2 linked regions of the Ovis aries genome follow. The protein of the gene in region 1 interacts with the protein of each later gene in a biochemical or structural test. Links are inferred from orthologs where the notes say so. Each region holds a gene or a part of one and is shown on either strand. Other genes may lie near its edges.

Region 1 (3,810 bases):
GGGGGGTAACGGGTGGGTGGTGTTAGGTGGCCTGTGGTTCTGCTTGTGCTTTATTGTATCTCGAATGTGGTTATTACCTTGGCTCTGCCATAAAGAGGCGACAGGAAGAGAGAAGGCATGGGGCCTCCCTGACCCGCTGCGGCCTGGGAGCAAGAGTGGGGTGGCTGGTGAGACGCAGGGTGCCTGGAACCAGGCGTGCGTCCCGACCCTGGGCGGGTTGGTCCCGCATCCACGGGGAGCTCCCTTTGGGGTCCCGTCTCTGGACCCTCGAGCATCAGCTAGCTGCCCTGGCTGAGCCTCTCAATCAGCTGCCCGTGTCCATCCGCCGGTCCCCACTGTCTTTCAGGAAGACGATGCTCAATGACCTCCTGCGCTTCGACGTGAAGGACTGCTCCTGGTGCAGGTGGGAGCCCCCGGCCCAGACACGAGCGCCCCCTGGCCGGGTCCCGCGCGTGCAGGCTAGAGGTGCTTCAAGGAGCTGATGACCGCATCCAGCCCCTCTCAGTGACCCCTGGCCTTCTCTTTTCTTTCTGCTTCCTTTCTTTTCTGGTCTGAGGCTGAGATTGGATTTTCTGAATCTTGTGATTTTAGGGGATCCAGTTGTGGGTCCTTAGGTTCTGCTTCAGGAGAGCTGTTCCATCACCAGCTCCATCTCCCAGGCCAGGGGCTGCTATGGGAGCCCACTGGGGGGCCGTGGGCTGACGGGTCCTTCCAGGACTGTCTCCGCCACTAGAGGGGCCACCCAGCAGCTGCCCCCCACCCTGCCTTTCCCCAGGCCCATCCCGTTCCGGGAGGCCCCGCACAGGCAGCGGGCAGCCCGCAGGTCCCAGGCCCTCCCTGCTGTGTGGCCTTGGGCAAGACGCACGCCCTCTCTGAGCTCTGGGTGTCTGTGCCCTTCTGCTCCAGTCCAGCCCCGCTGGGGGCAGCTCCCAGCCGACGGGAGGAGAAGATGCCGGGGCTAGGAAGTGTTGGGCTTCCTCCTGAGCTGTGCCCACTGCCGGCCTCTGTAGCAGCTCTGGGCCCTGCCTTCCGCGGGGTTGGGGGGTCTCACCGCCCCGCCTTTGACAGAGGAGGATGTCTGGGCCTGAGACTCGCAGCGGCACCCTGCCCAGACCCCCAGGAGGCGCTGGGGTCAGGTCAGTTCGTTTGGTGGTTCTCTCGCGCTTGGTTGCAACCTGTGTGCGGGAGTTACGGGTGAACTGGAAAATCACTCTCGAGACTTTGAATTCATGGTTAAAAATTGCTTCAGTTAAAAGTCTGAAAAGGAGCAGCTAAGTCGCATGGACACCTGCGCTGCAGAGCACGGCCCAGCCTGGGGCTGCGGGGGGGGATGGCTCCAGAGGGGCCAGGAGGCCAGCGCGAGATCCCACTGCGGAGATCCCACTCAGCCCCGTCTGACTCTCGGCGGCCACATGGGGTGCGCGCCAGGCCTCCCTGTCCACGGTCTCCTGCTGGGGGTCTGTGCTGCGTCGCTTCAGTCGTGTTCGACTCTTTGTGACCCCGTGGACTGTAGCAACCAGGCCCCTCTGTCCGTGGGGCTCTCCAGGCAAGAAGACCGGAGCGGGCTGCCCTTTCCTCTCCCAGGGCACCTTCCCGACCCCGGGATCGAACCTGGGTCTCCTGCAGCTGGCTTGGGGGCCGCATTGCAGGCCGATACTTCACCCTGAGCCGCCAAGGAAGTCCAGTGTCTCTGGGAGTTTGCTCAGATTCGTGCTCACTGAGTTGGTCATAGAGAAATCACAGAAAATTACTCAGAGGCGTAACTGTGGGGAAGGTGGGGAGGTGTACCCTCAAGCTGTGGACAGTGGTTTCTGGCAAAGGGATTATATGTGAGGTTTTGTTTTTCCCTTAGTTGGCAGTTTTTTTAAGGCTTCTATAATGAGAAAGCAGAGAGCAGTTTGGGGGTGATGGGGCTGCCCCCCGCTTGCACCTGATGCCCCTTCCCCCCTCAGGGCCTTCACCACCGGGACCCCCCCGGCCCCCCGCTACCACCACTCCGCCGTGGTCTACGGGAGCAGCATGTTCGTCTTCGGTGAGCGCCGCCTCCCGTCGAGCCTCGGCCCCGGGCTGTGCTGGGCCAGCCTCTCTATGCCCCTTCCTCCAGCGCCTGTGCTGGGTCGGGGGCCTCTCGGGTCCCCTCCCCCAACCGTCCTGATCTCCAGGGGGCACCGTCTGCCTCTGCGCCCGGCTGCTGTCCCCAGAGCCTCGAGCAGGAGCTGATGGGCGGCAGGGGTCCTGGGAGACGTGCTGACCGAGGGCAGACCCCGCCCGTGCCCACCGCCCCCTGGGTTTGCAGACTGAGCTGACGCCCCGGGCTGTGGGGGCTTCTTGCTCTCTTTACAGGGGGCTACACTGGCGACATCTATTCCAACTCAAACTTGAAGAACAAAAACGACCTCTTTGAATACAAGTTTGCAACTGGCCAGTGGACAGAGTGGAAAATTGAAGGACGGTGAGACTGTGCTGAGACCTTTGGGGTTGTACGGGCTGTCATGCTGGGTCTCGGGGGGCGGCGGGCCTGGACTGGCTTCTGTGGGGTTACAGATGAAGGGGCCTTCCGGGACGGCCCAGGGGTTAAGACTGCCTTCCAAGGCAAGGGGTGTGGGTTCGAACCCTGGTCAGGGAGCTACGATCCCACTTGCCTCGGCCAAAGGACGAAAGCCCAAGACGGAAGCAGTGTTCCTAACCCTAACCCTAACCCTGACTCTAAAAGCTAAGAGGGGCCCGCAGCCTGAAAGTGAGGGCCCGCAACGGCCGAGCTGGGAGCCCGCAGCACCCGCCAGCTGGCCCTGTTTGCCCATCCCTGGCTCTCAGCTCCCCTGGACCCCTCCGGAGGGTAGGGAGACCCAGTGTTCTGCGGACGGCCTCCTCTGGCCCTGCTTCACAGGCGCCCCCTCGACACCAGGCAGGGGCCTGGAGGGGGCTCTGTGCCCTTGGACGTGTGACTCCTCGTCCAGTGCCCATGCGGGCTCAGACTCTGCCAGGTCCCTTATTCCCAGCAGCCCGGGTCAGCGGGTGTGGGCACGTTCGCCCCAGGGCGGTGGGGCTCACAGGGCTGGGACCCGGGCTATGTGGGGCTGTGTGGCTCAGCTCTGCCCAGGGTGCCCCCAGCCCTGCCCTCCACTTGCCCCAGGCTGCCAGTCGCCCGCTCGGCCCACGGTGCCACGGTGTATAGTGACAAGCTGTGGATCTTTGCCGGCTATGATGGCAACGCCAGGTAGGCCGTGGCCAGAGACACGCCGGGCGCAGAGCGGCCCGCCTGCCCCGGGGAGGAGGCACGAGCTGGGTTTCCCAGGAGGCTGGGTGTGTGGATGCGGCTGGGGGAAGGCCACTGAGTGGAGGCCCCCCCGCCGGACCCCCACCGGGGACAGGCGCTCTGGCACCCCTGAAGCTCCTGGGGTGACTGAAGGCATGGTGGGCCCCACACGTCTAGACTGCTGGCCAAGGACGCCCAGGACCGTAGCTGGTGTCCTCAGAGCTCAGAGCGGGGGAGGCAGGCGCCTTCCTGCTGTGGAACGTCAGCGAACGTCGACGTTGCTGTGTTCTGATTACAAAAGCACCAAGCGCTCAGTCCCCAGGACCCCAGCCAGTTCCAGAAGCCCCGAGTGCCGCAGGCTTCGTGGTGGCCCCCGGGGCCTCCGGGCAGCCCCCAGCCGAAGCCCCTACCCCAAGGCCGCTCTGTAGTCCCCAATCAGATTCCCTCCTGGGGCCGTCTGTCCCGGCCGGGCCCAGGCCCACCCTGACCTCCAGCCCAGCTGCGGGGCCCCACCCCCTCTGTCCCGATGCAGGTTGAATGACATGTGGACCATC
Region 2 (4,581 bases), on another chromosome or scaffold:
CACTTTCACTTTCATCAAGAGGCTTTTTAAAACTAGACAAAACAATTAACCGAGGACCTGCTGTGCACCAATGCATAGCATAGCCTCCGAAGCAGCTCAGTAGTTCCTGAGGTAGGTTATCGTTCAGCAAGGTTTCTTTCCAATTCAGTGATGCAGAGTTGCTTTTTAGAATACATCTTGTTCCTCCCATTGCTGTCCCCCAAGAAGGCTAGAAGAGGGGTGGCAGAGGATGAGATGGTTGGATGGCATCACTGACTCAATGGACATGAACTTGAGCAAACTCCAGGAGATAGTGAAGGGCAGGGGAGCCTGGTGTGCTGCAGTCCATGGGGTTGCAAAGAATTGGACAGAACTTAATGACTGAACAATAGCACAGGAAGGCTAGTATTCTTGCATCTGTCTACGGTTCAGGTATTTGAAGTGTTATTTCATTGAAAGAGTTTTGGCAGGTAGTAAACTGTTCAACTGGAACAAGTACTTGTTTAAAATTGAATTGGTTAGTGAAAGCTTTACAGGCATCAGGATACAGAATGATGTGGTTAACAGTTCTTTCTCCGGTACGGAAGTGCTGTATTTCCATAGTCTCCACAGGATGTTTTCAGATAATGACTGAGCTGAAAGTAATGTCAAATCTCTTGATTTAAGAAAATGTACAAATATATCTTTAAAAACTTATTTCAAATTTACATACATAGATACATGCACTTTTGCTCCTACAGTACGCACTTATGTCTCAGTTGTTTAATCAGTAAGATCTGAAGATGAGTATTTTGGGGCAACAAGCCATAGTCTCAAGAATAAATCATTGTATGCCGGTTAAGACCTTAGCAACTAGCCATAGTAGGTATTAAACATCTGTTTTGGCTGTGCTTAATCTTTTAAAATTACCTACAAATTCTGGAATATGAAACCAGTGTTTTGTGCCAGTGGTTTAAGGTACATACAAGGATCAGTAATGTTCTCTTCATGTCAGTATGACTTTAAAGCATTTATTATCAAGAAATAAGTAATTAAGTCTGAGAAAATATGGTAAATAACAGATTCTTTAAAATCTAATTTAAATTTTCTATTAGTAAAGATGAGAAATGAAAAAGTCATTCTGGAATAACTATTTCTTGGTGGTGTTAATTATCTTAGCCTCTGAGGTCCTGATACTGACTTCTTGGTGGCGGGTAGTATAGTTCTTTTTAATTATTGGCTTCCAACTCTCTCTCTGCATTGCTGGAAACAAAAATCATATATTCTGATATTGGTGATGGGATGTGCATACTTAAAAAGCAGACACATTCAAACTAGTTTTAGAAATAAATTACAATCAAAATTTGCTTCTGCTAAATTAGTAGAGCAACAAAACCCCGTTTTTTCCCTCCATCATAGAATATTTCAGTACTTCTACATTGACCTTATACCTTCTTTTTTAAACAGGAATGAGAGTTTTTATTCTTAAAAATATGAGCTTTACTTGGTTTGTTTTATTTGTATGTACATATATTTGAAATTTCTTGCATTAATTTTCAAATTGAAAAGAGAATCATTTGTGAAGATATCTTAAGTGTCAGCACAGGTTTTATATTTTATATGCATTACTAAAGCTCTTTTGATACCTTAATTATTTATATAATAATGAGAATAGTAATTTCTTAAAAACAGACCTTCTCCTCTTGGACAGTAGTGATAAATACAAAATATTAAAAATTTTATATATGGGTACATGTGGCTGTCTCGTTTAAAGTACCAACATATTTAATGATATCAGAAAATAGTTGGAATTTTTGTTTTGTAGTTGGCTTAGTTACCTAGTTGATTAAATTGATTTCATTAAAAGTATACAGATTTTTATATCACAAGTTGATAAAATAACTTCAGAGGTACATTTTAATATATAATTAACATTATTTAAATCCCTACTTAACTAAAACTTAATTTTATGAATTTTAAATTAAAGTTTTACTTCAAAGATAAATTACTGAGTTCCACTGAAGCAGTTCTTAATACATTCTAAAGATTTGTAAGCATTAATACTGCTATAAAAATTGAGATGCCCCTTTTCTTTTCCTTAACTGATGTAAGCAGTGGATGTGTGATGATGTATGTATGCTAAGGTTAAACTTTAGCTGTTGGTTTACTTAAGTTAATACTTAAATTGCTGATTCTCTGTGCTTGACTGAATTTAAAACTGCAAATCATATTTTTGGTACAAATTAGCTTTTTAGGTGCTGGGTCCATTTTGTCACATTTGGTTTATAGAAAGACTGGTGTTACCAATTGCAGAGACTTAAATATGCCACTTCCCATAGTGAGTAATTCTATCTTAAAATTGAAAGAACAGATTAAGTTTAAAAAAATATATACGGTAAAATAAACCACCAACATTTTAAAAGCACATCTTTCTTTTAGAAGAATGGAACATATGTCTTTTAAGTTAATTTGTACCACATGTAAATTAATGCGTGCTTAAGTCACATCAGTCATATCTGACTCTTTGAGACCCCATGGACTGTAGCCTGCCAGGGTCCTCTGTCCACGGGATTCTCCAGGCCAGAAAACTGGAGTGGGTTGCCATTCCTTCTCCAGGGGATCTTCCCAGCCCAGGGATTGAACCCGTGTCTCTTACGTCTCCTGCATTGGTAGATGGATTCTTTACCATTACCATTAGTGCCGCCTGGGAAACCCTATGTAGGTTAATGTTTGTGTTAGTATTTCTTTTTATTCTTAATATTCTTAATATTTTTGAGAATATACTTTAAAGAAAACTTTAAGATATTTTTAATATTTTAAGAAAATACTTTTAAGTATTCTTAATACTTTTAAGAAATTAATATTTCTTTTTTTAGATGTAAGCTTCTACTTTGGTGGTTACATTCTTCTGGACAAACTAACAGTACAGTTAATCTAAACATTTTGTCTTCTTGGCTACTGTCTAATTTTCTAGACTAGAAAAGACATAAAACATCTCCCTACGGGCATATATGATTGTGTTTGTTGTCGTAGCTTTCTCACCATAGCCTTAAGCAGAAGAAGTCCCCTTGGCTCCTTCGGAGTGTGTAAATTAGAAGATATAAAGCCAGGACATTGGGTATTGTTTTAAAAATTATTTTTTAAGACTTGTAGTACAGATACAAAATTATATTGCTACTATTTTGTATTTTTTAAACGATTAAAAATATTTTCATTTTATGGTAAATAGCCCTCATTTAGCATTTTTATTTAAATAGTGCAGTTCTTGATCCACAAAAGTCTCAGTCTCGGTTCCATTTGTGGGCTCTAGAAATTGACTGGACAGTTGCAATTGAAGATAGAACTTGTGATTCCAGTCTCTTGAACCAGCTATATTTTGAGGTGTTGTGTGCATGTTTGTGTGTGTGTGTTTAAACAAAGGTCTGACTATCCCTTTTGTACCATTTTTCTCCTCACTCCTGACTCAGAGCAGGGGTGGGGATCAGTGGTACAAAAATAACTTGTTTTCCCTAAGTCAGAGAAATAATTTAAATCTAACTTCAGTTTAGACTTTGATTAATTCTGTGACTAACAAACTAAAATGATTGCATTAATTGATATACAGGTACTAATAACACATGTACTTCCAAATTAAAAAAAAATTCTTATCCCATTACAAAACAAAACTTGACTTCAAAGAACAAATCACAATTTATGCCCTATTTTAATACTGAATCCCCAGTTCTATTCAAACAGTCTGATGTCTGTTTGAAAAAAGAAAATGCTCAAGTAAAGCTCAAACTTTCAAATTTCTTGCACATGGCTATCCCAATAAATTACTATTACCAATGAAACAGACTTTAAAGAAGTTGTGTTTTACAATGCAGAGAGTGGAGGATGCTTTTTATACATTGGTGAGAGAGATCCGACAATACAGATTGAAAAAAATCAGCAAAGAAGAAAAGACTCCTGGCTGTGTGAAAATTAAAAAATGCATTGTTATGTAATCTGGTAAGTTCAGCATATTAATTTTGGCAGAAAGCATATGTTTTTCATAGCTAACAAAGTAGCAACCACATGAGATCTACCTTGGTGTGGGATTCTAATTTGAAGTATTAAAAAAATAAACATGTAGTTTGCTTCCACAGTCAATACATTTTTTTTTAATCTAATGGGTATTAATTATAATTGAGGCAGATTTTGATGGCTATAGACTGTCAGGGTCTTGAGAGACAAAATATGCCGTATCATATAGCAGAGTTGAATGGCCCAGAAGGTGGGAAAGGATCACTCTTACAGAGTATGTTTTCTTTTGGACATTCCACAGGCAGGTACTTATTCTGTCTCTGCTCTCTTAATGTAGTGACATCAGCATCACTTCTTTACCCAAGTGAGAAACCTGGGAGTCTTGGGATGACTCCCTGCTTTTCATATCCAGTTGGAGGCAACCACAAATTTCTGTTATGATGTTACCCTCTAACTTCTTTTTACATTTATTTATTTTTGGCTGTGCTGGGTCTTCATTGCTGCACACAGGCTTTTCTCTATTTGCGGTGGGCAGGGGCTACTGTCCAGTCGCAGTGCATGGGCTTCTCATTGTCGTCGCTTCTCTTGTTGCAGAGCATGGGCTCTAGGGCACATGGG

Evidence for each region.
Region 2: the proteins of LZTR1 (region 1) and KRAS form a complex in vitro, tested with the Homo sapiens proteins (2 studies listed by BioGRID, with this or other methods). The link is inferred for Ovis aries from reciprocal best matches to the Homo sapiens genes LZTR1 and KRAS.

Annotation. Positions count from the first base shown.
Region 1 is NC_056070.1:72,363,382-72,367,191, forward strand, and holds part of LZTR1 (leucine-zipper-like transcriptional regulator 1), read left to right. Parts: intron 1-346; coding exon 347-403; intron 404-409; exon of another isoform or gene 410-1,074; coding exon of another isoform or gene 1,075-1,136; intron 1,137-1,952; coding exon 1,953-2,032; intron 2,033-2,343; coding exon 2,344-2,452; intron 2,453-3,133; coding exon 3,134-3,217; intron 3,218-3,788; coding exon 3,789-3,810. UniProt on the Homo sapiens protein: Substrate-specific adapter of a BCR (BTB-CUL3-RBX1) E3 ubiquitin-protein ligase complex that mediates ubiquitination of Ras (K-Ras/KRAS, N-Ras/NRAS and H-Ras/HRAS).
Region 2 is NC_056056.1:190,404,662-190,409,242, forward strand, and holds the end of KRAS (GTPase KRas), read left to right. Parts: intron 1-3,824; coding exon 3,825-3,944; 3' UTR 3,945-3,948; downstream 3,949-4,581. UniProt on the Homo sapiens protein: Ras proteins bind GDP/GTP and possess intrinsic GTPase activity. Plays an important role in the regulation of cell proliferation.